4 linked regions of the Lepisosteus oculatus genome follow. Each later gene encodes a partner of the first gene's protein in a complex. Links are inferred from orthologs where the notes say so. Each region holds a gene or a part of one and is shown in the gene's direction. Other genes may lie near its edges.

Region 1 (8,126 bases):
AGCAGGCTTGGTGGTGCGCTGGTCGCTCCGTCACCCTCCATGATGTTCTTGTTTCTTTCAGGTTGGCCAGCATGGTCCTTCTCCGGCTGTTTCTTGGCCTTCCTGTTTTTTGTGACTGGTCCCATAACTTTCTTGAGTTTGAGCCTGGGCTTTACTGCTGCTAGGAGGCGATACTGTGTCGGCTCCTCTTCCCTCCCTAACACCTAGTAGGGATCTCCTGAATCTTTCACCGGTGCAGATGTGATCTGTCCGGTTTTCGGCCCTGCAGTCTGGGAATGCCCGTGTGGCCTTTTGCATTGTCTTGAGAGGGAAGACAGACCCTCCAATAAAATACACAAAAATCACTGAATTCCTCTCCATTTTCACGTATTACTCCAAGAGCACGCTTGCCCACGATTTATTCATGGCCACTGTTGTCCTGTCCAGAGTTGGCAATGACATTACCTGTTAAGAGGATGGTGTCTTTCTGTTTGTTGGGGGTGTAGCACTGGATGATGGTGATGTCGTTGGGTTTAGTGAAAAACCTTGCTGTGATGCTTCAGGAGGGTATTGGTTCCCGTTCCATAAGGTATTTAGCTGCTTCTTTAGAAATGCTATTTCTGAAATGCTGTTTAAGGAGGAAGGTGTCTTGACATCTGGCAATCTGCACATTAAAAATATATTAAATATATAATGAACAAAACCGTTTTTGTTCTTTTAATGTCCACATCAGTTTGTTTCATGGATTAGATTTTGCTGATGCTTTTGATCTAATACTGGCGTAAAACCCTCATGCGAGATATGCTGAATGAATATGCTGTTCTCATTTCAGACCTCTGTTTTGTTTCTTTGATGGCCATTCTTTTTTCAGGAGATAAAAAACCCCACTTCTTATATAGTAGAGTGGAGCAAAACCTTGCGAACATGACCCTAATTATTTTTTTTTGAAAAACAAATCTCATCGACTCGTTAAATTCTGATAATGTTATTTTCCTGTTGGGTTTAAATGACTACTTGGTGTTCCAATTCAGAGACCTAATTGCAATGCTTTTAGATGCAAATTAGGAGTAATTGGAGTTGACTGAACCAATAAATCTCAGTAATGTTGCTACTCAAAGTCACAGTACTTAGGCAGTTTAGAATGGACCACCATCAGTTTGGGTTTTAAACTTACTGAGTAATTGCAACATTCATGAATTATATTTTTATGAATTCCCTCCCTTTAATAAATCCGTGAGAGCGTGATCCAACCCTTATGTTCTCAGTAAGATGGAAGGGAGATGAAAGGCTTGTTCTAGGCCTGCAGGAGGAGATGTAGTTTATGAGGCTTGCATGCAAATGAAACAGCAGACAAGTCCCATGAATGACTGCGCTTGAAACATCTTGTTTTCAAAGAACAGCATAGTGGCTGATTTTCACACGGCATGGTTATTTCTTAATGTAAATCTGAATCTTTCAAGAAAAATCAACAATAAAAATAGAATGAAAAGAAATGTGTAAAGTTAAATACAGTAAGTGCAATGTAATTTCAAAGACTCTAAATCCTTGTTTTTCTGGACATTGTAAACAGTTACTGTGTACACAACAGCATGAACACTTTTCATAAAGTGTTCAGCTTTTATGTAAAACCAATACAGTTCAGAAAGACATGTACATCGTGTGCAAAATGTGTAAAAAACCGCTAAACACTCACAAATGCACATTGTGCCTTGAATTTTTTTAGAATATTTGGAACATGCAAAAAAAGTTTTAAGGTTTGGTAAAGAAATCAGACTCCACATGATGAAAAAAATAAATATTCAGCCCCAGTATTATCAGGGCACTACCAGGTTCTGCTTTCAGGGCCTCTTGCTGACTGAAAACTGCAGTTCTTAGCACACACTCAATAGCCAACAGCACTGAGATAAGCCTGCCCTGGACTTTGAGATCTTTGGTGCACATCTCAGAATGGTTTATTTTATTACCTTGAACCACATTTAACCTTTTCTGCCTCAGAAAATGCAGCAAGAAAAAAAAACAGGAGGCCCCACTCTGAAATAGCAGCTGGTTCACAGTTGGATCACAGCAGAGAGAAGTCAAAACTTATCTCTTCAGAAGTACTTTACAGGGCTGTCGGTAGTATTGATTGCCATAGTTTATCAGGCATGCTGAGTGTGAGTTGTTAACAGGTAGAATGAAAAGGGCTGAAGTGCAGTTCCTTCTGCGACCTCCTCTGAGTTGTGGACTGACAGATGAAAAGACCTAATGCACAGAATTTAGTCTGGGCCGCCCAGTGAGAATACTGTACATCCACTCCTGAGTAAAGAGTGCCTTTCACAGTGTCAGAGCTGGGTGCTCAAGGTCTCTGCTCCATTCTGCCTTTGTGCCACCAGCAATCCAGATGCTACCCATTGCTTTAACATATACAGCAGATCACCTCAAATATAGCAGATGACGTCCGATTCCGTTGGTTTACCAAGTTAAGTTTGTGCATCTGCCTAGAGTGCTGTCATCAGTCAGCACAATGCAAGATAAAGTGTTTTTTTTTGCCAGCGCAGGTGTTACTAAAGCACCAACGCTGGCATCTGTACAAAGGCTTGCCCAGAACTTTGTCATCTGAAAAAGAGCTGTTTTGTTTCCTTCTCATTATGCAACCTCCTGTGGTAAATTAGGAACTTGCTTTTATTCACTAACTACTGTGGCTTTTCCTTTATCCTCCTACAGAATTGCGACTTGGAAATTGCCCGCCTACTAATTTATTGAGATATTTTATGACATATTGTTTAGTTTGTTTATTTAGTCCTGCGAGCATTTCAGTTTCTGGGCAAACAATGTGTTTTCTCCTCTGTCATCTCTTTCAACAATAGTATGCAGGAGGTCTGAATTTGCATTTCTGTATATATTAGGGAAAATTTACAATACCAAGTTTTGTTTTCATCTTGGTTTTTTTTTCTGATTGAGATTTTGTGATTTGTTGAGGAATTTCCTACTGGTGCATCTACTAGCTACGAAATGTTGCTCCAAATCCACAAGGAGTGGAGAAGTGTCCTTGGTGTCTGGAGATCGTGTAGAGTTACTGTACCTGGTTGCTCATCAGAGCTGCTGCTGGGATCCTGCAGTAGCTGAGATTTTACCCTGTGCCTTCAGTATGGAAACCAAAGAAAACAGAGCTCTCCTTTCCCATCACACATTGGACAGCTTTTATCTCATGAGAGTGTGACACCTTCCTATGATTAAATAAATTACTGTTTGTGCATGAAATGCTAGTCAAATAAAGTAACAGTTTTAAGACTTTGGCATGGGAACACACTATTTAGCATTTTTTAAACTAAAACCTTGGACCCAAAAAAGGCATTTCTGTGGCTTTTAGGAGTTAACGGTTTTAGATTTTGCAAAGAAATGCTTAATAAAATGACTACATTGCTAAGAAACAAAGCTTTCTTCTTGACTTGCTTTTGATCTAGTTTTATAAATAGCAGAATTTTGTCATAAATGTAATGTTTTTGTGGTCTCTTCTCCAATTAAAAGAAAAAGGTTTGGCTCAGGAACAAGCCAGATTGGCATATTGGAACACTACGTTATTTGCTTTAGTCATCATGTGCATGTTTAATATACTGCTTGTTATTATCATTGTTGTTTTTTTTTCAAAGCCAATGCTTGATGTACAGAATAGCCTGCTCTCATTTGTACCTTTTCTTATTGTCTAAAGTGGAATGTGAAACATTAAAGGGATCAGAGCACCCCTAGGTCTTTTCAGCTAAAATCCCGCAATGTGGAGGAGTGGTTAGGGTTCTGGACTCTGAACTGGAAGGTCGTGGGTTCAAATCCCAGTTGAGACACAGCTGTTGAAACCACGAGCAAGGTACTGCGCTCAGACCGCTCCAGTAAAAGTTTGTTTGAAAATCGAGTGCATCTCAGACTTTTAGTGTCGGCTGTGTTTGTGTTTTTTGTAACATTTCTGTGGGTTAAACGCTTGCTGTGTGTTACTGAATGAAGAAACAATATACGAAAAATGACCACTGATAATTGCTCAAACAAAAAGAACTACTCGTGCTGTCCTAACATCTGTTGCCATTTTGAGCCTCTGTTTACAGTATAAAAATGTATTTGAATTCACCAGGACAAATAAACATATCATAACTGTAAGCCCTGATGTCATCTGCAGATGTAAATTTAGTTCATGTGTTCAACAGCATCTTGTCTTCCAAAGCAAAATAAATGACATCATTGAGTGTGTTTAATCTCTTAGGGAGGAATTTTAAGAGCAGATCACTTAGCACTGAGAGGCATTTTCTGACGTATTACAGGATTTCATGGATTTCAAATTTGTAAACAAACTGTTCTCATTTCAGTCCTTCAAGAAGGCTTAAAACTACTGCACAATCCAGCTAAGTCAACTGGAGTATTTACCACTAATTATAACTTGGCATAAATCAGAGCTTTTAAGAGGCAAACTGTTTTACCTGAAGGTCATTTTATTTATTTTCTTCCTGCTTTGCCAGGGTCATGTTATTTATCAACATATTGTTTTTCCAGAATTTTAATTTGGTAATAAACCTGCTTGACTGAAAGTGAATAAAAAACATACAGCTAACAGAACTTGCCAATTCTTTTTGCCAGAACATCTCTTTATAGTATCTGTAACGAAGTACAGTACGTGCGCTGTTAATATGCTTCAGGATGAAATTGAATAAAATTGTCAGTTCTAGTTGGTTTCATAAAGGATGTGGGGTTCCCTGTAAAAAATTTTTAAAAAACAACAAATTAAGTAAAAAGTTTATAAGTAGAAGCAAGTCTGCTCCTGCTGTTTTTGTGCTAGCAAACTTCAGAAGTGAGTGCCTCATCTCAAATTAGTGTTAATTGTGACACATTGCTTTTGAATGTGCTACTTTTGAATGTCTCATAACAGATACTGTAACCAGTTATCATAAAATCTGGGCGCTTCAAGTGTGCAACAACTAGTTTTAAGTGAGATTTCATTGTAAGTTGTAAGTCATTCTATGTCACTGTGGTTTTCCTATCGACAGCAGATCTAGTGATTGGGACATCATCAAATGGCAGCTGCTTGAGAATTTCCTAGCCTAATAGAGAGAAACTAAACGCGCTGGGGATGTACAGTATGTAACATCGATCACACACAGCAGAAGTGGCAGCTGCGAGATCTGATCACCGGTAATGCTAGATAGGGCTATCTTGAGAAAGTACAAGAAGATACAGTAGAAGGGACAATAAATTCATTTGTCAAAGCAAACGTTGTTTTCATTAAAATAATAAAATCATTCGAGTAGAGCATTTCCAATTATTTCCATATTTCCAATCTGATGTCCTTCCAATTAAAAAAAAATACAAGGCCGGGTTTTAAACTAAGAATCGCTGAGCTGAAGAAAAGCCATCCCCCGTGCCAATGAAAGAACGATTTCTCCGTGTGTTTCCTGTTTGTAGGAGGGCTTCGAATCTGGGGATCTTGCGGGACCCGGGGTCGGAGGTGGAAGACCGGCAGTACCAGGTCGATCTGCAGTCCATCAATATCGGCACGGCCCGGTGGGAGCACCTGAAGCCCGAGAAGGAGGGGGCGAAGGGGGGCGCTCCCGCGGAGAGCGAGCGGAGCTCACAGAACCCGGCGCTGGAGTGGAACATGGCCAGCAGGTAACGCCGGTCTGGCGTTTTTCTGCCGGGGAGGGGTCCCAGGCCTCGCGTCAGGCCCGCGTCCGTCCGCTTTTCAAACGCGCAGGGCCCAATCCGGGGGAGCGAGGGAGAAAGAGAGAGCCGGCCGGCTCGGTCCCCTTGTGCAGGCTCATGATGGTAATGCTCATGCTAAGTGGATGAAGGTCTGGATCCGGCCACCCAGACACTACTCTGCCAATGCTCTGTGTTTTGTTTTTACCAGAAACAGCTGGATGACATCCTAGCATCGTTTAACTACAGGGAGCATTGGGTTAGCTGGGCTGAGTGGCCTCCTGTTGTTTGTAACCATCCTTACATTCTAATCCACAATTCTTCTAGCATGACAACAGCATGGGGCAAACATTATTTAATTAATACAGTTCAGATTTATTCATATAAGCAGTGCATGGTACTCTCCTTTTCTAGCAGGGTTGTTTGCCACTTGACCTTTTCTATTGTCAGCAGTATCAAAATGAAGTTGGGCTGCGAAATGTCAATAGAAGTAGCCTTCTTCATTTTAAATTTCATGCGAGATATTTTCATGGGGTTAAATGCTCAACATATGGTTAACCTTTCAGTGCCTGTATATTCAGTGTATTGTTTTTAAAAGAGTTCTAAACTAAAAAAGTTGTGTTGTAAGCACGGTAGTTTTGCACAGTTCAAAGGCATACTTGTCACAAATGTCACTTGTCACAGGAATTCCAGAAAACACAAGAATCACATTTATTCACACTCCTGAAAAGAGTATTTTGTAAATCCTCCTCTGGCAGGGATTACACTGACTGGGCACTTCCTGTATTGGGCTGTGAGGGCCTGGCAGCTCTGAGGGTTTTTTACCATTCTTCCAGATATTATTGCTTGTTAAGAATTTATTTAAGTTGTGTATAAATCTGAATAATGCTGCATACATACAGAAATCCATCATGTTTAATTTTGCCTAAGCCAGTGTATTACCCTGCAGCAAAGGTGTCCAGTCCTGGTCCTGGAGGGATGGTGTGCCTGCAGGTTTTGTAGGTTTCGGCACCTCAAGTGGATAAATTGGTCCAATTGAGCCAATAATTTAGGTCATTAAGAGAAGAGATGGAATGAAAGCCCTCCAGCACCAGAATTCCACCTCCTTTCCTACAGCTAAGATGTCTCAGCTGCCTCTGATGGTTCTCAGGCTTGTCAAACAAAGTCAAGCTCATCTTTTTAAAAAAAAAATCTGATTCAGCACTCGTACTGTATATTCAACAATCCATTTTTTCTAAAGTCATTTTGCAGGTCAACTTTAAACACAAATCAAGTTTATTCACCATAATATATCATTTTCAAGAAGCATTTTTTCAATCTTTGCTTCTGAAAATTTGGAACAGGGAGCTAAAACAAGCAAGTTTAATGGCCTGTTTGGCTTATGCGATTTTAGCTCTTGTTTTGAAAAGGAACAGGCCCAAAAATCACAAAGAAAAGAATTTCAAATTTGTTCTCTGTTGACTGAAAGTAGCCTCTAAAGAATGTAGCGCTCTGTAAAAGCAACATGAGCTTGATTTTGACAAAGTGCTTTTTAGGTCACATCATTTTTTAGTTGCGGGAACACTTACCATCATGAATCAGGCAGATGGAAAGCAAGAGGCTTCTCCTACCTGCTTTTAGTGTTGAGGAGTACTGGTACGACTGTCACACTGCAATCACATACACTGTGCAGTTTACTGTGGACGTCAGCCAAGAGACACTGGGTCTTCTGTTTGAACTCTTTCAGGATTTGAGCTTTGTATCATTTTTAGGAATTCAGCCACATTCTGTCATTTTGTTCCCTTTTCAGTAGCTCTGACTGTACAGCAAAGACTTGTTATTTAACTAGTTATGACCTCCATAGCGAGGGAGATCAAGAACCACATTTCTGTATCAAAGGTGCTGGGGTGCTCATCTGTCCTCCGAAATCACTTTTAAGGAATTATCCCAGACAAGACATGATATCCTTTTATATTTTCAGAAAATGTTCATAGTAGGTAGTACGTTGTGAGATTATCATTAATTAACCTGCTATATTTTATACTGCACTGCCTTGTTTGTACCTGGCTCTGGGAGAACATTGCGTTAAAGGTGCTGTGATTTGGTTCCATCGTCACCAGTCTGAAATGAGAGTCTTTGTCTATTGCAGATCTGATATCACCTGTTTATATCGGCACGAGCTTTATTTTGCCTGGAAACACAGGTTCCCAATTATTTAAAAAGCCATGATACTGCATATCATGCAATATAACCTGAAGTACAGTATGTTCTTTTGAGTTTCAAGTATTACTTCATACTGAACTATAGGTTGTACATTCCCACCTCTGCTATTTTATATGGTTTTATAAACACAGAGGAAATATCTATTTACCTTATTTGTTAAAACAGCCTGATTTACTTTTCCTTGAATGGATTTTAATACTGCTTTCCATGTTTGCCATTCACGTTTACAGTATTTGAATTTGTCATTGCCTCAAACCCATATACAGTGTGTGATGAATAAAAGCTAAGAT
Region 2 (8,167 bases), on another chromosome or scaffold:
TATCAAAGGCATTCTCTCCATTACGATTAAATATATGTACGGAAAAGTGTTTAACACATAGATTCCTGTCTTATCATTCATAACACAGGAGACACTCGGTTAAGTGTAATTTGAGCTGGTGGGACAACTCTTCCAGTGATAAGAACAGGAAGCCATAAATGAATTTTACAGTAGTTAAAAGTGAAATCAGGAAAACAGAGAGCTATAGTCAACAAATATGTAACAAGGAATACACAATGCAGTCTGAAAAAAGTGAATCTTTGACTAGGTACTGTATAACTGTACATAAGCAAAAAAAACCTTAAGAGGCCTAAATCATATAACAAGATTAACTTAATGCTCCTGTTTGTATATGTTGAATCTACTAGCCTGAGGCTTCAAGAATTAATGGCAATAAGTTGCAAAACCAAAACAGAATCAGATTTTCAGCAAGTACTCTCAGAATTAGTGTACATTTCTGTCTTACCACACTATGTTCAAAGCCTGTCAACTGCTTTTATATGAGACATAGAGAAAATAACATCATGCATTGATAAAATACCTCTGCAATGTTGTGCACAGATTAAGAACTAGTGCTATTCTCTGCCTATATTTACTGTAACATGGCAGCAATTACTTTGACAAATACTGTCGTGATAATGTCAATTTGGCGACTAAGGAACGTGACTATCCTTAGAACTTTCTATCTATAGATTAAGTGTGGATTGTGCCAAAAGGACTGCAGGAAACATGAGAAAAAGCAGCAAAAATATTAACCATTCAATTTAGTCACATTCCAGTCTATCCTCGTTTAACACTGCCCTTTTGGTAACAACGGTATCTGGTCATTCTGAATGTTTACCCCGAACAATGGAAATTGCGCAGAGTATCCTGCTCGGTGAAAGTGATAGGTTTGGAAACGGTGCCAGTCATTTTAAAATTATTGACCATATTTTGTTTATTTCTATAGGGATTTTTGATGCTGACAACAAAAATACAATAATAAACCAAAACATTGCATCGTTAGTAATATCAATATACCACAAACCAATGCGTTAAAACCACAAAACAGTATTTTCTACCCATAAGTCAAAATCTGAGCTCAGGACATGTACGTTACTACTGAAGCATACAGCAATTCCCCCTCATCATACTTAACACCAAGAGCGCCTTTAACAAGAATTAATGACCTTTCTAACAAAATTGCACTGAACCGTGCTTAAGTTACAATTTTCCAATAGGCTGTAAGAAAAATATATGCATACATAATTCAGCGGGTATCATTAAGATGCTTCCCAAACGTAAAATTGCAGAGAATGTTATCACAAGTCACCGGTGATTCACCTGACAAATACGTATCACAAAAAATATATTTATATTCAACTTGCACTAGGGCAGTGTGTGTTGGGTCTCTCTGAGAGCTTTCCGTCTGAAGTGCCAACAGGTCAAAGCAGATGCCGGCTGGCCAGGGCATCTTTTTTTTCTAGCAACGCATCGACACAGTCCTGTCGTATGAAAGCGAAAAGAAAAAATGGCAAAACTTACTGCTACATTCGTCGTCGTTACATCGCTTTATGTCCGAAAACCTTTTATCTACTGCCTTTTCGGATCCCGTTACAATAAAAAGTATCACTAGGAGGTACAAATCCACAACGACAGCAGCCATGCTGGCAAGCTACTGCTAGTCGACTGCCCGAGCATGAGCAGAACCGGCCGACACGTCAGCAGATCCGCAGGTCTCTGAGAATTGGGGATGCAGGATGTACGAGGAGGATGTGGAAAAGGATCGGAGTCAAGTTACTAAAACTAAACCCATGAGGAGTTTTATTTAAAGAGCCATGAGCTTATTTTCTCCGTGTCTTTAACAGAATTTTGATTATAAAAACGCAAGGTGTTGCCTTTTTCTCTAGAGACAAATTTAATAGTAACTAGAAAGAACAGTTCTTCGGGAAAGCTAAACAGATCTGCAGTGTTTTTTTAACTACCAAAATGAAAAGGGAGCTCCCCTCCGCCCTGTAATCGGCCATTTCTAGAGAGAAGTTTCTAGTTATCTGCGTCACAATCCTACCCCAAGCGCAGTCTGGAGAAGTTGGGGAGTTATGCTGTTGTATTCTCTCAGACATACATAAATTATGATTAAGAACACAAAGTGTTTAAATACAATTTTAAAAGATGTAGCATAAAATAATTCCTAGCTAAACGTTTATATATCTTAATGTAGGGTGAAACTGCGTACCGACGAGGGAGTTATACACCTTATGTCTAAATTATCCACATTCTAGTATGAATTGTATATTTTCATGCAAATCCTTGTGATTGTTTTTCTGTTGAGGTTTAGGAATTTCTATGGATTACCACGCTTGTGGAAGCAAAAATATAATGTTTACAACACAATAGAGGTGACCTAACAGTCAAAATAGGCCATTTCCATGTGAGGAACATCTCTGAGGCTGTATTTTTCTATTTCTCGTGATTTTGTCAAGGAAATCGAGCACAGATTTATTTCTCGCTGTATATCCCTCTTGAATGCAGTATTTGAAAATACTAATGGGGAATTAGTCCAAAAACCCCCTGATAGATATCCCAGTGCAAACAAGGAAAACAAAAAACAACATTTAGAATTGTTAATAGGTTTTTTCATGTTAAACTAACACTTTCTAGAATTAAACATGAACAACATGATATATATATATATGTGTTCTGTGAGACTGGAAAGGAAACACGTTTGTTATTTGTTGTTTTGATTAGATTTGCAAAAATGTATCATTAAGCATTTATCGTTAGGCACCTTCTATTTGCTGATATTTAATCAGCCTTTAATACAATGCAGTCACATATTTTGGTTGAAACGCTGATTTCACCGTTCAAATTAAATCCTAGTTTTCTGACTAAGTACACAAAATGTACTTATTAATGTGTTGGTATCTGACTCTGTACTTCTACTAATCCACCATAAGGGTGCGTTCTTTCTCCCCCTTTTCATTTTATATACTGATGACTGTCAGAGCAACTATGAAAATCATTGTATCAGGTTTGCTGTTTCTCTTCTTTCAGAGCCTGGACAAACACATGGACCCATTCTGGATGAATTTGTCAACTGGTGTGATCCTTCTTACCTTGAGATTATTGTGTCAAAAACAGAATAATGGTTGATCTAAAAAACAAACAAAGCACTGGCATTCCCACAACCATCCATGGTGAATCAGTTGGTATAGTTCACAGTTACAAATATCTGGGTTTGAGGTGTTTGAGGAAAAACTTAAGTTCCCTGAGATCACTGATGTCATTGTGAAGCATTGTGAAGCACTTAAAACAACCAAAACAACAAATAACAAACATGTTTCCTTTCCAGTCTCACAGAACACAAGTATATATATGTACCTGGATGGGAGACCTCTTGGGAAAAACTAAGGTTGCTGCTGGAAGAGGTGTTAGTGGGGCCAGCAGGGTGCGTTCACCCTGTGGTCCGTGTGAGTCCTAATGCCCCAGTAAAGTGACGGGGACACTATTCTGTAAACAGCCGCCATCCTTCGGATGAGACCTAAAACCGAGGTCCTGACTCTGTGGTCATTAAAAATGCCAGGGCATTTCTCGAAAAGAGTAGGGGTGTAACCCCGGCATCCTGGCCAAATTTCCATTTTCCATTGGCCCTTAGCAATCATGGCCTCCTAATAATCCCCCTCTATGAATTGGCTCCATTACTCTGCTCTCCTCCCCACTGATCGCTGATGTGTGGTGAGCGTTCTGGCGCACTATGGCTGCTGTTGCATCATCCAGGTGGATGTTGCACATTGGTGGTGGTGGAGAGGAGACCCATTAACTGTAAAGCGTTTTGAGTGGAGTGTCCAGAAAAGCGCTATATAAGTGTAAGCAATTATTATTATTTTTACTTATATGTTTTGAGAAAACAGTTCCACAGAATCCAGAAAAGAATTCTATCAGCATGTTAAAGGTATTATATATGGAAGCCCGTTTCCGTTTTTTTTACTCCCTGGCGGAAACGGGCTTCCATATATAGCTTTTATATCAAAAGTATTTTAACTTTTTCATTTAACCGTAGATTCAATTCACTCAGTCAAAGAGGCAAAAAACACCTTCAAAATGTTGCAAACCTCAGCTTAGAAATCATTGGACAGCCTTTAAGACCTCTGGCATAGCATTGTGTCCATCAGATCCTGAGGAAGGCCTGTGACATCAGTGAAGGCTCATCTCAGGTCTTTCATCAGTCTTTTGAACTTTTGCCTTCGTGCTGTCCACAGCACAAGACAAAATAAAAGTTTGGTTTGCTCCAGAGGCCACCAGGCTTGTAAACAATGAATGTAAAGAAATTTTATCACTATGACGTCAATTGGATAACACCCTACTCTACAAATGTGCAAATAGTTTAATACCTTCTTAAACATTGCACATTGTTACTTTCATAATAACTAAAGTATTTTGAACTGAATTGAATATAAAACTGCGTGTTAGATTTATAATTTGTAACATAGCATATAAAATAATATTTAGTTTTAATTAATTTGTTATACATAATTAGTAATATTGGGTCGATATATTCACAAAACCAAAAAAAATAATTTATTGTTTTCTGATTTGTAATTCCTTCTGGCAGCGTATTGTTGATGATTAATTATTTTTCTTCACTTGTCTTTTTCGATACCTTTTCTGCTTTGGTTGTATCATAAGGTGTTTAATAAAAGCTTAAGAAATCAAATACATGTTTGTACCAGAAGGTCCAAATAACGTTTACTGTCAGATCAGGCTACCACAATAGTACAACATTATGCTCTAGGTCTGCGCAGATACACTGCTGCAGGTTTCTGCGCTATAGGAACTCTGCTTTAGAGTCAGAGTCGTCGTCCATGACGTAGACCATGTTGCTGTTTTCCGTGGGCATGCGCACTGTCAAATTTGGGAGGTCCTGGAGTCTACATGTGTGGTGATCAAAATGTACTAAAATACGATTAAGTCGTTTTTTCGTGCAAAATGAACATAATATCGTTTCAATAGTCAAGAAACCAATTTATGTCATTTTTTATAATTGGAACATGAACGAAGACGTTTTATCAAGCAGGTTTGGTTGTCTGAATTATGTTTAATGTTGTGATTTCAGATAAATGTTTCTTTTACGCGTTTGAAGTTTTTTAAAGTCGTAACACTGGGAAGGTGGATTACCGTGTGCTTCTTACTTTCGGAAGTGAGCTGAATTAAGAACAGACGATACAGCTTTCAAACACTTCATGAAAACAATACGAAAGCCTCCTCTATCATAAACTGTATTTCCGGTGTTTTGTATAGCCTTTAATACACTTCGTATCAGGAAATGTAAATTGCGTTTTAGGTCGTGCTTAAGCAAATGCAATCGAATAAGAAGTGTTGTCCAAAACGTTTTAAAAAACTGACCTTATAACTAAACCTTAGAAATTGGCATGGATGTTACTGGTTCTTCAACAGGGTTCTGGTGAGGAAAATCATTAGTATACAAAGTAACTTACATAATATGCAAATAGGACAGACGTTTTAATGTTATTTGTATGCGTGATCATCTTCGATTTAGTGATGTTTTTTCTGATCAATATGTGAAAATCTTTTTCAGAGGAATTCAGTATGGAACATAAAGCAAGGTACTGCTATCATGGATTCCTTAAATCTTAATATTTTCCTTTTTTAACGAGATAAAAAGCCCTACTGAGGGCTGCAAAGACGTTTTAAGTGCTATAATTAAATGTAACACTTTATGTCAAACTATGTATGAGCCTCTTAATCCCTCTTAACAGTTTGCTTGAAAACCTTATAAAGTAGAAGAGTTCACCTGTCATTTTTAGCTGTTCACAACAGGAACATGTCATATCCTTTTTCTTTTTAGGAGACATGGATGACCTATGTGCTGAATTATCCCAGTCTGACCAGCAGGACAGTTTAGACGATGAACAGCAGATTTGTAGTCCTGAAATAGGAGGACGACCTCATTTGCCTCTATTGCACAGTTTCAAAGGTAAGATCTTCAATATTCACTGTTTTAAAGCAGTGCCCAAGCCTTTATCCTATCGGCTTACCGAAAATAATTGAAAGGCTGTTTTGTATTCATTCTTGGAAGTAAAAAGGATTTGTGTTTCCTCCTTTAGAAACGTTGCCAAGGAGAGAGACTGGTTTTCACAAAAGCTCCAGAATATGCCTGACCAAAATTCAGGAAGCTCTTTTCAAGCACCGTTGGGAAGAGGCTGCAGAATACATGAAGAATTACTTTGAAACGCTGGAAGACACAACTGTTCGGAAGCAGACTGTATCACCTGAAGTGAGTGTGGCCGTGACTGCACTAATTTAAAGAAGAACTGCGTTCACAATTTTGTAGACTAGTTATTATATCTATGTAACAAAAAAATAATTGCTGGTATAATAAAATGTTACAAATTCCGAATTAAGCAAAAACTGGTGAGCTTTGTGAAAGTACTGTATAGTCGTCATATAGTCACAAACCCGTGCTCTTGGCACAGGCAAGAGTGCAGATTGAGATATGAGGTGGCCCTTCCTGCTCACTAGTCACTGTAATGACTAATGAGTGAATAAGTACAGGCTGTGTAGCGGACATTTCACTGCAGAAATGTTCCAACGTGATCTGCATGCAGAGTTAACAAAAAAGTAGTATTTGTTGGCAAAACCTTCTCAAGGTTGAGAGCAATATTTCTGTTGGATTACAAGAGATGTATTCACAAGCTTGTTTGTTTACAAAGTCATAGGGCTGCTATGCCTCAGTGGAAGTTTGGTTGCCTCGTTCTGAATTGTAGAACAAGACATTGAGCATAGCTGGAAATGTAATCTATTTTATGATGTAAATTGCAGGTTTTACACATTACTGTGTACATTTTACTTTCATTGTGGTTTGAAATGCACTCATCAATGCTGATTCTTTCTAACCCCCAAAATATAAAAATAGCATCGCAGTGTTCCCCTTTTAAAAACAAAAAGTGCTCTCAGGTCCACTAAAGGTGCATTCAGTTTGAACCCTAAAAAGGTCATTGCTCGTTCAAACCACTGGTGTCTCATTTTGTTCGGTGACTGAGATTCTCTTAAAAAGTAGGGCATGATTATCCTGGCACTACCGGGGCTAGGTGGACATGAGTTGGTCATGGCACACAGATAAAATGTCATACAACGTACAACATCGACCCCTTTAGCTTGCTGGGCTCATGTGAACGTTCTGTGTTGTCCATGAGAGCTGCAACACTCCTCTGATCAGTGCTGAGTCCACTAAAGGAACTGTGTGACCCAATGTGGTGGATGTCTGAACACAAGTATACTACACATGCTTTCATCTCAGTTTAGTCCTCAGCCTCCCTGAAAGAAGGTAAAAGAACTGTACCAATAAAGTGAAATTATACTTTTTTTCACATTAAAAGTTGGAGAATATCCTTGAAGGAAAAGAGTTGTTTTTGATGAGTGCGTTTATTATTTTATTACAAGAGTGTTTAATAAAAATCCCTACTATTGAAATAAGGTTGCCATATTAATGTTGAGGGATTAAATGTATAAGGAAAACAAATGATGTAATGGGACCTGTACAAGTTTACCTGCTAGGGAGATGCATTTGGTCATGGTTTGCGTTACATGCTCTTTGCTGAAAAAGCATTATTGCAGCTAAAACATTATATTTATGACAGTATTCAGAGTCACCAGTAGAGTAACTTGCCCTATACAATTTCACATACTCTTTACTGGTAACAGGTATTCTGCTGTCGTTTCTAAAAAATCATTTGACTCTGGGTAGTTATGTCTTACCCCTTCACAGGGAATGACTTTTTGAAAATAAATTTGAAGTCGGGCCGAGTATGATTCTTTTGGGGTGCAATCATTTTATGAAACAGGTTTTCACACCCTTGTCATGGATTTAGCGGTTTGTGTTGTAGAAAACCACTGCTAAATAAAATGGAAGCAAATAAAATGTCATATCAACGTGTTTTAGACCGATTGTGCCAAAATGTTTATCAGATTTTGCTAATATTTTTCAGGTAATCTGGAGGATGGGCTCAGAAATTCTGCATCACCTTCCTAATGCTAAACTGGAGGATTTCAATTCTTTCCTGGAGAGACTGAAAAACATTGGAGTGAAGAATTTTCAGAAGGTGGGTGTGGGTAGCTTTCACTTGCAGTGTTAGCCGTTCTTGGCAGGCGTACACCTTGAAGTCATAAT
Region 3 (7,640 bases), on another chromosome or scaffold:
ATCTCTTGTGCTCAAGACAATTTATAAAGTTTTAATTAATGAACATTATTTTCATTGGAATATACATTTTTATTCAGTAGAATGTATGTATATTTACTCCTGCTAATAGTGGATTACTAAATCCATAACAGCTGCAGTCAATTCACCAAAATATACTAAACACCTCATATGTGAATCAGTTAATTGACAACATCATGTCTGGTAACCTGTAGCATCAGTAAAATTCTGCAGTACCATGTAGTTGATCATATGTCAGAATATTTGCTTAAGAAGATATTTGCATTCCTATACTAAAACAAATTGGAGCTCATCTGGAATCCATAATTGAACAACATAAATGGCAATTGCATGATTTCATATGACCTGGACATGATCAGTTAGAGTTTAGGCTGGAGACCTTGCCAGCAAGTGCTGCTTAACAGCTGGAATGATGGGGGCAAGTGCTATCATCTATCAGAATAAATGTGAGACCAGTAAAATGTCAAGACTGGTCAAGAATTTTGTGTTTTTGTGTCAAATCAGTTAGGTAACAAATGGTAACACTTTGCTTTCCATAGAAATACAACCAAACAGATAAATCTCTCCTTTTACAGCATATCTACAAGATATTATGTCAACTATATTTCTCCAAATTTTACCCCAGATCCTCACCTTCTTGAGTATATAATCCAGAAAAAGGTTCTCCAATTTTCACCTACATATGTAGCATCCAAAGCCTATGTGGCACAATTTTTTAATTTTATACTGTATAAGATCTGCATCCAGACACCATCTAACATGACATGTTAGAATTATCTTCTCAGTTGAAAAGTAGTGAGTGCTACAAACACGCGTAGGTCGTGTGAAAGAATCCTAGGGAAAGGTGTCATAACTCTTAGGTGTCTGCTTCATGCAAGGTCGTGTAGGGGTCCAACTGGGCTGGCCAGCATCTCCTAAGATCATGAACAATCACCCCACACATACAGTACTGATAAGTCATGCAACATGTGGTATTGAGAATCCTTCCTGCTGGTGTCATAGGACTTCTTAGGATTTATTTCCTCTTAGCTTATGATAAGTGCATCACTAGATGTAATTTAGCTTAAGGTCTGTTTTACAGTTTTTATATCTTATACAGTATGCTTTTAATCAAAGAATTTCCAGTTTCTGGGGACTTTTTCTCTTCCATGACAAGGTGCAAGGCAACTTACAGAGACTACAGGATGAATTATGCTACTCCTGCAATGACACTTATGATAGGCCTTGCACTTAACCTCTCCTCCAAAGAATAGAACATAAGGAAGTAAAGTAAAAAGAATCATTTATTTTGAACTGGGCATCTCCTACCCTTTACTGTATGGATGGCATGTTCAAACTGAATCTGTTTGATTTTACAAGTTTGAATTTAGAAGTTTCTCTTTCAACCTTAGATGTTTTTCCTTATATTCACAGGTTTGCTGGTCAAACAGATGCTCCTTGATGCCTTAAAGGACCCTGACATGCAGTCCTTAATTAAAAATACACAAGGAATCATGTTCTATAGTGTTCCTCATCATGGAACCTCTATTGCTGAGTATTCAGTCACTGTCAAATATTTGCTGTTTCCTTCGGTAGAAGTCAAGGAGCTCTCCAAAGGTAAGATCACTTAAAGTTTTCGGTAAAGTTTTTATTCACTTTGTTTTATGATTGGATTTAGTCAAGTTAGTTTTTTAGGTTTAATATTTTCACAGTGCCAAGAAGTATAAAACATACTGCATGCCTCTTGTTATGATGTATGCAAACACTGCCCTGGTTGTTTTTTTTCCTAAGACTAATAGTAACGATTTATGTGTTATTCTCTCAACTGCTAGCTGTTGAAAACGTTTGATGTTTTAAAAGGGGAACACCTTTCTGTTGTTAGAAACACGGAAATTACCTTTTAATATGTCAAAGCCATGTTTACAGCATCTCAGTGGCATATTTTAATTCTAAGATAATGGAATTTCAATTCCATTTTAATTCTAAGTAAACATGACCATTTTTCTATCCATAATACATCTTTTCACATTTTTCAGATTCCCCTGCACTTAATGAACTAAATGAACGCTTTCTGTGCATGGCCAAGGAAAGGAAGTTCAAGATACTAAGCTTTGCAGAAACACTACCCACCAGCATCGGTCCTATGGTGAAGATGCATGTCGTGCCAGTGCAGTCTGCAGGTATGTGCTTAGGCTCCTGCGGGGAGGTAAAATAGATACAGTATATTAAGGGAAATTAATAATAACTTAAATTAAGCAGCACAAGCCAAAACACATGGGATTGTATATTGTGAATTTCTTTTCATTTGTTCAGGAAACCGTAGCACTTGATTATTTTTGATGTAACGTTTAATCATGTTTACCATTAATTTTTCAGATCTGGGGATTGGCGACCTCATTCAAGTGGATGTCGATCATCTAAATATCTGCAAACCCCAGAAAAAGGATTCTTTCCTTTACAAGCGCAGTTTACAGTTCATCAGAGATGCACTGGAAAGCCACATTAACAATTAATAAAAACGTATTACTGTCAATACGGACAATATATTGAAAGCACCTTCCCCAAGTGTTCATATCCTAAAATTAAAACTCAAATCCAGCTTTTAAAAACCTGACATTATTTTGCCATATTGCATATGTATAAAGATTTCGTAATATTTTGTTACTGAAAGCAGATCTATAACATTAGTATTCAACAGAACATACTGCATGTTATGAAAGTTTGATAACAAAGGAAAAGAAACTAAGAGTTTTGTAGTGTTTGCATTTTTAATAGCATACTGTATATGTCAGTGTTAATTAAGCCTCAGACATGGATACATAAATTACCAAGAGTTTACTGTTTCATTGAGCAGGAAAAATAGAGCAGTGGTCTGTGTACAAGAACATAAAAGTTATAATCTTCAGGTGATATATACTGTATATTTTTTATTATAGAAGGTCTTTACTTTTACATGAACTAAATATTTGTAAAAGATACTAAGTTTACTGTTTCTGTTGTAAAATAGATTATTCATGAATAATCTTAAAATGTCATTGCACAGAAATGCAAATTAATTTGCATTGCGGAAAAACTAAATAAATTATTATTATAAATGATAAGAAATATATTTAACCCATGTTTACAAACCCTGGTACCAGATCTCAAATAAATATTCAGAAGTATAATTCCATTGCACTTTATATTCAAAGAATATCACATGATATTTGAATGCCATATTATTAAAACATTTTTTGCATTTGTATTTACATTTTGGGAGTTGTGTGGTTATTAACTTTTAACATTAACTGTGTGGTTATTAATACTTTGTCTCTTAATGTTGCTTTCTCCTTTAGAATATTCTTATTCTTTAAATGTCTGCCTTGTACCTACTTACATGGAATCCTGTGAAAGCCGTTCCAATTACAGTATATACTATGTGAACATCATCCGTAAACATTTCCTGTCTGTATTTGCAGATAAGATTAATTTTGAATGATCTATTGACTATGTCTCTCTGTTATTTTATAATATAATTGAAACTTTGTTTTATGAAAATCCACCAATAAATGAGACAACAAGCCCCTTACACAAAGATATAGGCTGTTTAACAAGAGAAGGCCAACAACCCCTCCCCACACACTTTGTGGGTGAGATTATCAATGTGTATAATATTAATGCTTAAAGTAAGGATTTGAATTATAATTAATAATAATAATAATACCCACTGTGACTTCGTTAGCATGTGTTGTGAAAACTGGTATACTTGTATAGATCTGTAAGGACACTGCTCTTCTACAGTGTACCAAAAACACACCAAAGATCCTCTCTAGTAATCTACTAGGATGCTGTGGATCCATTGATTACACACCACGGTATGATCTGTAGTGGATGGCCAGTCTCCAAGGAAAACAGTTTGCTGCTGTAAGTGGTGTTAATGGATAAGATGTCAATCCTCTGTACCAAAGTTTCCAAACCTGCCGCACCCCAACATGGTGACCAGGGAAACAGCTGTATGTAATGTTGCCCTCCAGATAAGACACTGAACTAATTTCCTGACTACTTGGTTGTTAAAGATTACTTGATAATGTTAGCCAGGAATTTACTTTGGCCGCAGGTACGCATCTCAAATGATGGCACATTCTAAGATGTAAAAAAAACTACTGACTTTCACATTCTAAAAAGTGCTTATTGTGTATATGACAATACTTATGATCACTTGGATGAACACAAAATATGTTTTAGATATGTTTTGATATAATGAATATCATGTTATGCATGCACCCAAAATAACATTTTATTTATTCATATTAATCTCACGATCACAAATAGAAACAAATAATCAAAGGTTTAACTTTGTTGTTAAAATACTTTCAGAGATCGCAGCATAGTTCAAATAGTAAATAAAGAAGATGCAATCCAATTTTAAGGTCTTTTAAGGCTCGACGGTGTACTTAAAGAACCTGAGGTTTATCCGGAGAATGTCAATGTCATATGGCATTGTTAATGTGGAGAGATAAAGACAATTTTAAAAAGAGAAACGTTAAGTATTCCTTTCGAAGATAAAAGCTTGAGACTACTTCTTGAAACAGAAGAATTTAACAAAGTTCCTTTTCTTACGCGAAACCAGGCAAAACGGTCATGACAATTTCAATGGGTTGTGTACTGCGCCTTTAAATGCAGTCTATCTTGTCCTGTTTAGCTTTCCGTCCACAAATCCTGTACCACAATGCTTTTCGCATGGTTGTTTTTAAGTAACCGGCTGCTGTTATATTAGCAAACGCACGGGTACACTGCTTTGAAATTTAGAGATTTGTAGCTTTACAGAGGTGAGTTTTCACTTATTCACCCTCTCGATATTAAAAAAAAAAACTATTTACGGAACTTTAGTACAGCTAAATCGTTTAGCATTTCTGCTTAGCACGCCTTTAGGACTGTGTATTTTTGTATTATAATTAAAGAAATAATCCAGCTCCAGTGAAGCTTTTACGAAACTTGACTAACAACCTTTACACGTAGCTATACAGCAGCTCATTGTGCTCTTTGGCATGTCTAGAAGTATTTCAGTCTAATACTGTGCATTAGTATTGGTAGTAAAACCCACACAAATAGGTTGTTCAATAGTAATGATGGTGTTTTTAATGGCGTTAGTTAATCTAAATGCTGTTTATAATTAATTCCTCTGATACAACAATTACCATGTTTGTATGTGTTATAAATTTCGAAAAGAATGCATGCATAACCATTAAAATGCATAAGTGTGTGTGAGAGAGGAGTTTATTCGCCATATGTACATTAGGATTCGTTTTCGCTCGGTTTTCTCGGGACGAGTACAGTACAAAAGACAACATTTTCACATAGTGTGCACAGTACTTCACAGTATAGTAAATGATAACATGACAGTACAACAAAGCACAGTAATATATAACGGCAGTACAGAACAATGAACACGAGGTCATTATTTCATATCATTGATACTGTAGAGTTATCCTGGTTTTCAACTTACCTTTCTCTAGGTGCATATCACGAGTCTCTGAGGTGGGACAGCTACAAGTAGAAAAATGGTGAATGTTATGAAAGGAGTTCTTGTTGAATGGTATGTACATCAAAAGAACTTACCTGTATTTCAAAAATATCCCTGTGCCTTTACTTCCTTATTTGTAAAATAAATTTTAAAGAGTTTAAAACACTTTGCTTTTTATCTTATTTCTGTGGCTAAAATTTGGATTTTATCGATTGTAGTCATTCTCAAGATACTTTAGTGTTCAACTTAAGGATGCTATGCTCAGGATATTTAATGAGGTAGTAGGATAAATATTTGTAATGCTTTTAGTAAAACCATTTTTTAAAAGAAATGAGGTTAAGTGAGGTGATGCATTTGCAGTTAATGGGTCTCCAATAATTTTGCTTCAAATTGTAGTATTGTGTAATAATGATATAGGCTAATTGTCATTAAATGTGCATTGGGCAACTTTTACTGTTTGAAATTTACTCATGAAATCCAGGCATTTCTCATTCCTATTCTGAGCTCCATGTGAACTGCAGCTGCTAAAAAGCTGTTTGTGTGTAGTGACAATTTAAACATACAGTACAATAATAAGAAAATGTCCAAGATTGTAAAATCATATTACTAATGTTTTCAACTATTGATCTATAATATTTTAGGAGAAGAAAACTAAACACAGGTAACCTAAAATCTTCAAAGAAAGCAAGTACTTTTACAGAGTCACTCTGTATGTTGTCAGATTCCTGCATTTTCTAAAATGTGTATTTGTATTTGTATTTGTTTTAATGTAGTGATCCTGCCATGAAGCAGTTTCTTCTGTATTTGGATGAAACTTCTGCTCTGGGGAAGAAATTCATCATTCAAGACCTGGATGACACGCACGTCTTCATTTTAGCAGAAGTAGTTCAAATCCTACAGGAGAGAGTGGGAGAGTTAATGGACCAGAACTCGTTTCCTATTACTCAGAAATAAAGCAACATGGAGATGTAAATGGAAGACCATGTTCAGCACAAACAACTTACACCCTTGTTTTATTAAGTGTGCTCTACAGTATACAATGTGTCCACATTATAATATGAACTTTTGTATTTTTTTTCATTGTACAACTCATACAAATTATAAAGGTATACCTCAGATATTGTAAAAGTGAAATTGTAAATATTTGGGGATGGTAAAATTTTGTTTCAGGAATAAAGAAAAATCCTTGATTGCTGTAATGGAGGAAGCATTGTCCCACATATTTTGGGGTTCAGTTAATATTTAGATGTTCAAGGGCTTTCAGTTTTCTTGGCAATGCATTAAAGGACAACTGTGCATTATTTAGTTGGTTCTTAATGAATTCACATTCTTATTTACTACATACCAAAATGTGTGCCCAACTAAAAAGAATTGTGGGATTAGAATTTATAGTTTTTAATTTAAAGTAAAAAGTTCATATATTGAAAAATTGAGAAGACCACAACCAGTTACACTGAATCTACAAATGTTATTCAACATGTTGCATGCTTGAAATAGTGTATTGACTTTTCTACATATTGTGGGGCAGTGGTTAATTGTTTTCTTAACAGTGCATTAAAGACAACTCTTGTGTTATGTAGTTGATTCAAAATGAATTTACTGCAATCAGATGTGGGGTTGCTTAAATTATGGTATGAGAGATCATGAAAATGCATTTGAAATCAATATCTAAAACATGAATAATATTTATTTCTTCTTTTGTCACTTGTGGTGAAAATATCCTAGGTACTATATTTAACAAATACTGATTATAGTAGTTGATCATGAACATCCACCATTATAGTAGCTGGATGGCTGGGGAATCATTGTAATCTGCTGTTCTGATAAAAGAAAACTTGATGCTCTTGTGAAAAAAAAAAGTTTATTTTATATTAACTGGAGAAATGTTGACTAGGTCCACAAACATTTAAACATTCTAGAAAAGGTTATATTTTTTCAGGTAGTTTACGTTTTAATATGAAAATATTTACAAATACTTCACTAGATTCCATAAATAGGATAAAACCTACACATTCATCTCCTGTAGTTCGGGATTTTTTTTTGCTAGACATTATTTTATTTCCGTAGCTGTGTTGGGCTGTAACTCATGTGCATGTGCTCTGGTGCACTGTGTGTCATATGGAACCAGGAGATGTTTTCC
Region 4 (7,873 bases), on another chromosome or scaffold:
TCTCCACTCCTCCGCAATAACCTTCGCGTTGTTAACAATAGTGGCTTACATCTGTTCTAACGGTGAAATATTTCCCCAGTCAGCCCCTGACATCCAGTAGATCAGCTAAAAAAATACAATTTTTTCAATTTCTCCGCAAGTAAAGGGGAGGGTTCATTTACCATACCGATCATAAACATCTTTACAGTATGAAAAAAGGATTGCACGAGCTAATTAATATCGCTATGAAGCAAATGAAATCCAACAGCACAGAGAGCTACCATTTTTTCACATCATAAATTAATATATATACACATCCAGACTAAAAGAATTTCTAAATTCTACTTATTTCCAGCGATCACTGACTTAGTCAAACATCCAGGTAAAACGATGTGCTTACAAAGTGAGAAGCCATAATCTCGCGTATTTACTTCTCAATAAAAAGAATACTAAGTGTTTACGTTAACAAGTGGGAATATCAGCTCTAATGGGTTTTTTAAAACAAAAAACTTTTTTTGAATCATTAAAACTTTCCGACGTCAATTCAGTCTCTTTAGATATCATGCAAGCGGAATGTAAGGACGTTGTATGCAAAATATTAATATATTCCCAAGACTTTAGTTTTTTTTTATGAGTTATATCGCAAGTTGTAAAACTGCTCAAAACTTCTAAAATCATGCGATAGAAAACGCCTACATACGTTGAGGGAAACACGCTTAACTCAAACTCTCAGGTAAGAGCCAACCTGAAGAGCAATCATGAGCGCAGGGATGCGATTAAAACGAGACTTGAAAAAAACACTTACCAAATTCCTTTATATTTCGGTAGTTTGTTTCTTTTCTTCTTCTTTTTTTACGCTTCTTTTCGCCTTTCAACCCGTTGAACCATGTTAACGAGCAAGTCGTTTCCCCGTCACAAGCTAAGCGCAGGTTTCGGCTCACTCCCTTTCGCAAGCGTAATAATGGCTACCTTGTTCAGAAACTAGATAAACGGGTCGGCCGGGTTTTTGTTGTGTGGTAAACCTTTCGAATTAGGAGCAAACGACTTGAGACATTTTAGTCCTGGGCGAACACAAACATTTCTTTCTAACCGGTAGAAAAGGAAGAGTTACGGTCACGTGGCTGGGCAGGTAAAGGTGAGATAGGGCTCTATCATCCCATTCATAGCCAAATTGGAACAGTATTTGCATGAAGTGAAATTAGGACGTAACAAAACAGGGTTTGCACGGATACGAAACATAATATTCGTATATGTCTTTGACAAGTAGAGGTCATCTTTAAAAATGCAAAGTGTTTCGATTTTTTTACACTGCGTATAGTATTAATTTCGTCCCTCCTTTTTGAATCTGTACCTCTTAATTTAGTGACTTGCTAGATTATTTTACGTTTGTTTTAGTAACAGGTGGAGCATAACCGAAGAACGCAGCGTTTTCCCCTTATGATCTGCTATTGGTCCCCATTGATCATTTTTTATTTTATTTTATGCAGCTTTATAGCCAAAGATAATCCTCAGAATCATGAATTCACTTGCTCCTGCTGAGCTCCCAGTTGTAGGTTGTTTGATTTTGCATTTGTCGGTAAGTGTATAACAACATATGCTTCCTAAATTACAAATTGTTATGTGGTCACATGTACATTCTGCTGTTCTGGGTGACTTTCAGTCTGAAAAAGGTTACTTTTTTGGGAGCTGGGACATTGAGTTCCCTGTATAGGAAGGAGAAGCTTGTATACAATTAATTAAGACAATTAAAGGTTGTGTAGTTATGGAACAGGTTACCCAGCCATGGTGTTGAAGCTGATATACCTTGGTTACTTTTAAGAAATGTCTTAACAAGTTCCTTGGCTCAATTAACTTCTAGCTACCAAATAGGTTAGATGGGTCACCTAGTCTCCTCTCTTTTGTAACCACACATACATTCTCATGTTTAAGGTAAAATAATAACAATTCCTTGCATTTACAGTATATGGCATGTTTTTTAATCCCTGAGGATCTCACAACTAGACATTGAATGAGATCCACTTCATGTACCAATGTAACACAGCACTGATGTAGGGGACAGGCAGCAGTCTACATGAGCCAGTACACAGCAGATCCGTTAGTGAAGAAATGCTTCAGCAATTGACCGAAGCCAGCAAGGCAACTTTAGAAAGGCCAGATTGAACACGCCCAGTGTGTAATGTGGCCTGAACACCAGGATTAGTATCTTTTCTCTATCATTAAGAGCCTTAGTGACCAAGTAGTCAGGACTTTGGATTTATGTACCATTCATACTGGGGTCCGGCTTGGAAAGAGTGCCACCTACTGGTCCAACATCGCCACTTACAGCAGCAACCTGTTATCCCACTACTGACCCAGCTAGATGCTTAACTTCATAGATCTGTGGCAGCTTGTGTGTCACCATATTTTAAATCAATATTACGATTCTAAAGTACCTTACAAAGAAAAGGAGGGCTTGATAATACTGTTACAAACTTGTCACAAATTTGTTACAAACAGTTTTATCAATCCTCCTATCTTTCTCATTCACTTAAAAGGTGGATTGATTTAAAGAACATGTGAGTCTCCTGCTCACATCAATTGATGATTCTTTGGAACATTTAAAGATTATTTTATTAAACCCTGTGACTCTCCATTCAGTGAATGGTTATTTATTGTTCTACAGTATATGCTTCAAGTAGATATGTGCACCATTGAATAATAATGAAACAGAACCCATACATTCAGGGCATAAGAGCACAGACCTTGGTAAAACACAGGCACAGGTGTGCCACCTTTATTACTGAAGGAGTAATAAACATAACAGGAGTAATACATAACAGGAAGGACTACAGCAAAAAAAAAAAAACATGTTTTTATTTATCCCTCTATCCTTTCACTGGGCGTAGAAACTCTGAGGGAGAGAAGAGATAAGATAAGATCACTTTATTGGCCATATACAATTTCTGGTATTAGGAATTTGTCTTTTCGCATGCACACACGGAGAGGGAGAGAAGCTGGGGGTCAGAGCACAGGGTCATCCATTTACAAGGCACCCCTAGAGCTAGTTTCTGTTTCCTGTCTCCTGAACAGGAGTCCCCTCGCCCATCCGCCTTCGGCAGGAGCGTCAGAACACGTGACTCGATGGGACAACCTGTTTGTGTTACTATCTGCCCCCTTCCTCCCAATCCCATGTCAGAGAGCCGTCGCCCGCCTTGAGTGGAGTTTCCATCTCGCTCTGGGGTCCTGCGGGTGGTCTCAGTGCAGCCCCACACCTGAGGGCTCAGCAGCCGGGTCCCCTCCCACACCGCCGCCAAGGGAGCCCCCAGTTTCTCGCGCTGCTGGCTGAAGCCGGAGCAGCGTGTCTGAAATGTGTGAGCCCTGAAAGTGGTGCCCTGTGCTCCACAGCTAGTGCCTCTCTCTCCGTTAAATTCCTCTCCTCTCCGCCGGTACAGTCGCGCCTCCTCCCTCTAGACTAGGGCAGCGACTGGCCCCATATTCCCCGGACACTGTGAGACAAAGCGGCATTTTAAAAGTGCCCTGACACCGAAATACATCATTGTGTAAACCGACCAATAGACTTTTACTGAATTGACCTTCACGCTTAATTATCAATCAGGGGCAGGGAATAAAATAGTTGTATATGATTCTTTTTTCTCAATAAAGAAGCGTCTATATCTTTTTTTAAAAAAAAATAATTTCAATCCACCCCGTCACCTGCAGAGACCCCTCTTTGAAAGTTGCTATTTGCATTTTCTTCGAATTGGGTCTTCATTGGCAAGGTTTGCCGATCACATTGATGGACCGACAGTGCAAATTACGATTATACTGTAGAACAGATGACCTAAGAAAAACTAATTAAAAAACTACCAGCTGGTGGAACGCATCGAGACAAATCGCCAACATTAAAAAAATGGACAGCTGTCGTTGATCAAATAAAACAGTTCTCCGCTGATACTCTTTACTCCACGACCAAACGAAAAAGAAGAAAAAAAAACAATTTAGTAAAAAGGATTGACGTTTAATTTACACCTTAGGCTACGTTTAAACCCCAGACTCCCAAATGTGGTGGCGCACCTACAGTACGCCTGAAACCGGGTTTAATGAAAGTTTTTTTTTTTTGCACTGGACTCTTGCCGGCTCAAGTTTCGCAGAGGCCAGGGTTATTTGCCTTGACAATAATCGCTGTTTTTTTTTCCAAATTTGGCAACAGCCGGTAACCGACGTACCGGTTAGTGATGGAAACGGTTTTAGTCAGTTCTATGTGTTGGCTGTACATGTCCCAAGATGTATTTGTGTTGTGTAAATGTCTGTAGACCTTTGTATTCGCCGTGTGCGCTTTGGCACCACTGTAACACTGCGGTCATGACAATAAAGCTGTTTGAATTTGAATGTAGTGGCGTCCCCCTTTTCCACTAAGCCTGAAGGGCCTTGGCGAGCTCCTTCTCCTCCGATTGGTTACCGGTCTCATCCAGGGGAAGGGCTCACTCTTTCCTCTCTCCACCCCCCAGTCCCCCCAGTTTGGCGTCAAAACAGACTCCTCCTGCCGCGTTGGCTTCCGTTTTCGGAGCCTTTCGTTTACAGGAACACGTGTGGCGCGTACGCGTTCTTGTTTCGGACTGATGGTGTCGGGAAATTAATTTAACAACCAACCAACAAAAACAAAAAACCCCGTCAGGTTTGTACCTAGTCGTGCAGCGCAGCGCGGAGCGGAAGGGAGACGCGCTCGCCTCGTTGCCCAGTGCTGGGGTTAAACGGGGCCGGTTTGACACATGGGTCGAGCCCAGACATGGCCGGGCGTACGGACAGTGCGTTTCCCCCGATGCTTTTCCCCCAGGCCTACAACACCGGGCCTCCGGGCAGGACCGCTGGCGTCCTGCCGGTTGTAGGCGGCTGGGGGGTCTACGGCCAGATCCGGGGAGTGGACCGTCTTGTGCCGGAGGTGAGTACTTCAGCTCCTGCGCTCGCAGATCGTCAGCAGCTCCTGCGCAGGAACCTGCCGCTTAAGAGCCTCGGATCGTTTTTGCACATGCAAATGCACAAAGAATCGTCTTGTTTTGGTGGGGTGTCGTTTCACCCTGCATGCTCGCCTAAGTGCTTGCTTGAGCAGAATGGGATGTATCGCCTTATTTTGCAAATATTTTGCAATAAGATCATGCAAAACCTTATGTTGCATTATCTGCCAGCTCGCTGGCTGGGAAAAAAAAAACTGTTTTGCCTGACCTAGAATAAAGTTAGTAATTTGATCCATTCGGTTATCTATATACGCGATACAAAAGTGGTATTTCATGACGGTGTTGGGAAGATTTCAAATGACGGGAGGCCGACGGTACATCGTTTCGTAACTTAACTCATTGATCAGGATGTCAACCAGTAGTGTCTTAAAGGCAGCGACGGGCTCGTCTTCAACAACGTGGCCGACAAACTGGTTCCGTACTCCCGCAGTCTTTTTGTTTTCTGTTTTCGTCTGGCAAGGCTGATTTTCAACAAGTCTTGTAGGGTTTGGTGCCTTTTTGAGGATTTTGAATACCTGTCTCGGGTCCCCTCAGAGTTAAGTAAGAGCCCAGAGCATTAGTTTTGGCAGTGTGTCTGCGGAGTTTGAACTCCAATTCTTTCAGCAATCTTTTTTTGGGGCGGAGCGGTGGCTCTGTGGCTAAGGATCTGCGCCTTTGCCTGGAAGGTTGCGGGTTCAAATCCCGCAGCCGGCAGGGCAATCTTACTCCGTTGGGCCCCTGAGCGAGGCCCTTCACCCCAACTGCTCCAGGGGCTCTGTACAATGGCAGTCCCTGCGCTCTGACCCCCAGCTTCTCTCCCTGTCCGTGTGTCTCATGGAGAGCAAGCTGGGCTATGCGAAAAGATGTAATGCAAGAAATTGTAAAAGGTTAATAAAGTGATGTTGTTGTTGTTGTTATAATTATTTTTTTTTTTTAACTTTGCCTGGTGTTTCCAGAATGCTGGCCTAGAGGGTAAGATCAAGATAGAAGCCCAACACAAAGTAAAAGGAGAGGAATGGAGGCCGACAGAGCCCATTGTATGTCCCTTGCTGCCCCCGAATTCAGGTAACTGGCCTAGTGTCATTTATCGTATCCTAATCTTTAACCTAATCCTTATAAATTTCTTTCTTCTACCCCCCTCTTAATGATCTCGTGGATAAAGGATTTCATTCCCAACAACACCGCTGTATGCTGTACTGTTCGTGCATTGATAAATAAACCTTGATTGATTGATCGATACTTTGCTTCGGACCATGCTGCAGGCGGTATTTCCTGTCTCCAGTGGGCGCACAATCGGTGGTCTTCCGTTCAAGCACAGTTGTTGGTAATCCGATCCAGTTACAGGCCCCCCCCTCTAGAAGTACTCAGACCCTTCCTTTGTCATGCCACTTGTGAAATAACAAAATGATGTGCACACTTTTTTTAACTTCTTCATTTTATTCCAAACCTGAATGGCTCAAAATGAAGAATTTTAAGGGTGAAAAAGAGTTACGGTAAATATCAGCAAAACCTAAAGAGGAATAAAAAACGGAGAAATATAGATTCTGGAAGTAAGAGAGGACAGAATTTGCTAGAAGGTTACAAGAAGAATACAATACATTCATACAGTAACAATTTACAAGATTATGCAATAAAAAAACCATAGACAAGGAAAAAACATCGGGAGGGGGTGGATTTACATATGTGTAGTATTTATCTGTTCTAATCACTTTTTTCCCCTCTCTTCAGATTGCAAGATTCCCTCATCAGCTAACTCTCATGCCTTAGACTTCCCAGAACATGTAAGTGGTGTTGCAAGTTATTTTAACATCTTGTGATTCTCTGAGAGTTTGGAAGTGAATTGAGTTGAAAGGCATGTTGGTTCCTGCTTACGGACACGAGGCTTCAGGAAAACCTCACCACGGAAAAATGTAAATGTTAGTAAATGGGTGCCCAGAGAATAACCTGGCATCTCATTTGTGCCTTTGTTTTTGAACAATGTGTTGGTGTTACACTTACAGTTTGAACCTGTCCAATATAGTTTTAATCCTCTTGAGTGCTTGAGAAGTAACTCTTCTAGATTCAAGCAAATACTAGTCAATTCTGATTGTATAGCACTAACTGATTCAGATTGAACATTGTAAGAGTACAGTACCCCGAGTTATGTTAAAATAGAGTTTGTATGATTGTAGATACTGAATGTATACTGTGAAACTATGGTTCATATTCTGGGGTTGAAAGAGTTGGTGTTGTTTTTTATTTATGTCTTAAAAGCTTTATTTCTGTCATTTCTTGAAGTTGCGGAATTTCTACCTGGATAACCATCAAGATGCCTTTGGGACTATGAGCCGTCTGTTAGATGAACACTTCTATTTTGGTTACGGTAATCTACAGGTATGGGAAGCTATATTGGTGGGGTTTTGTAAAGCGCAACGCTGTCTTTCAGTGCATTGAAACCATGGTTGTTGCCTAGTTGCTTTTTTAGAACAAATCTTGTTCAGTTAGTTCAGTTCTGGTCCTGTTGGTGTAGCTCTGAAGTCTAGGCCTCATTATTTACAGTTGGCTTCAGTGTGATTCTATACTATTGTGTGTGTATTTTGAATGTTTTGTGCTGTAAAATGGCGGCAAAAAATACAAAAAACATCACATTAAGTTTGTTTTTTGATCTTCATTTTCAACGTTTTTGCTGCACTTCCAGCATAAAATTTGAATCAAGTCTGATTATCTGTGGGTTGGCGCTTAGCTTTATATTACTTCAACAAGACCTTTCTTTTGATATTTTGTCTTGCTTGCTATCTCATTGTGATTTGTCAGGAAGATGTGTCTTGTACAATTGGAATGTCCTCTTAGCCATTTGACTATACTCATGTATAATGTGATTTAATACAATTACAGTGAGGAAGCATAATTGTTTAAGCACAAGGAAGACCAGTTTACAGCTAAAA

What was found.
Region 2: polr2k (region 1) and taf1a share a complex: the UniProt entries of both Homo sapiens proteins name them as parts of the pol I pre-initiation complex. The link is inferred for Lepisosteus oculatus from reciprocal best matches to the Homo sapiens genes POLR2K and TAF1A.
Region 3: polr2k (region 1) and gtf2h5 share a complex: the UniProt entries of both Homo sapiens proteins name them as parts of the TBP-based Pol II pre-initiation complex. The link is inferred for Lepisosteus oculatus from reciprocal best matches to the Homo sapiens genes POLR2K and GTF2H5.
Region 4: polr2k (region 1) and taf1c share a complex: the UniProt entries of both Homo sapiens proteins name them as parts of the pol I pre-initiation complex. The link is inferred for Lepisosteus oculatus from reciprocal best matches to the Homo sapiens genes POLR2K and TAF1C.

The regions. Positions count from the first base shown.
Region 1 is NC_090705.1:8,620,768-8,628,893, forward strand, and holds the start of polr2k (DNA-directed RNA polymerases I, II, and III subunit RPABC4), read left to right. Parts: upstream 1-4,818; 5' UTR 4,819-4,822; intron 4,823-5,400; coding exon of another isoform or gene 5,401-5,604; intron 5,605-8,126. Other genes in the region: intermembrane lipid transfer protein VPS13B, read left to right, coding at 5,401-5,604. UniProt on the Homo sapiens protein: DNA-dependent RNA polymerase catalyzes the transcription of DNA into RNA using the four ribonucleoside triphosphates as substrates.
Region 2 is NC_090697.1:42,661,874-42,670,040, reverse strand, and holds the start of taf1a (TATA box-binding protein-associated factor RNA polymerase I subunit A), read left to right. Parts: upstream 1-4,860; 5' UTR 4,861-4,911; coding exon 4,912-4,929; exon of another isoform or gene 4,930-5,053; intron 5,054-5,575; coding exon 5,576-5,603; intron 5,604-5,845; coding exon 5,846-5,974; intron 5,975-6,104; coding exon 6,105-6,274; intron 6,275-7,985; coding exon 7,986-8,099; intron 8,100-8,167. Other genes in the region: mia3 (transport and Golgi organization protein 1 homolog), read right to left, coding at 1,525-1,645. UniProt on the Homo sapiens protein: Component of the transcription factor SL1/TIF-IB complex, which is involved in the assembly of the PIC (pre-initiation complex) during RNA polymerase I-dependent transcription.
Region 3 is NC_090697.1:48,833,533-48,841,172, forward strand, and holds gtf2h5 (general transcription factor IIH subunit 5), read left to right. Parts: upstream 1-4,699; 5' UTR 4,700-4,805; intron 4,806-5,492; 5' UTR 5,493-5,537; coding exon 5,538-5,572; intron 5,573-6,273; coding exon 6,274-6,454; 3' UTR 6,455-7,075; downstream 7,076-7,640. Other genes in the region: protein SERAC1, read left to right, coding at 1,432-1,614, 2,034-2,177, 2,374-2,510. UniProt on the Homo sapiens protein: Component of the general transcription and DNA repair factor IIH (TFIIH) core complex, which is involved in general and transcription-coupled nucleotide excision repair (NER) of damaged DNA and, when complexed to CAK, in RNA transcription by RNA polymerase II.
Region 4 is NC_090698.1:66,526,668-66,534,540, forward strand, and holds the start of taf1c (TATA box-binding protein-associated factor, RNA polymerase I, subunit C), read left to right. Parts: upstream 1-4,344; 5' UTR 4,345-4,744; coding exon 4,745-4,897; intron 4,898-5,905; coding exon 5,906-6,014; intron 6,015-6,677; coding exon 6,678-6,730; intron 6,731-7,226; coding exon 7,227-7,322; intron 7,323-7,873. UniProt on the Homo sapiens protein: Component of the transcription factor SL1/TIF-IB complex, which is involved in the assembly of the PIC (pre-initiation complex) during RNA polymerase I-dependent transcription.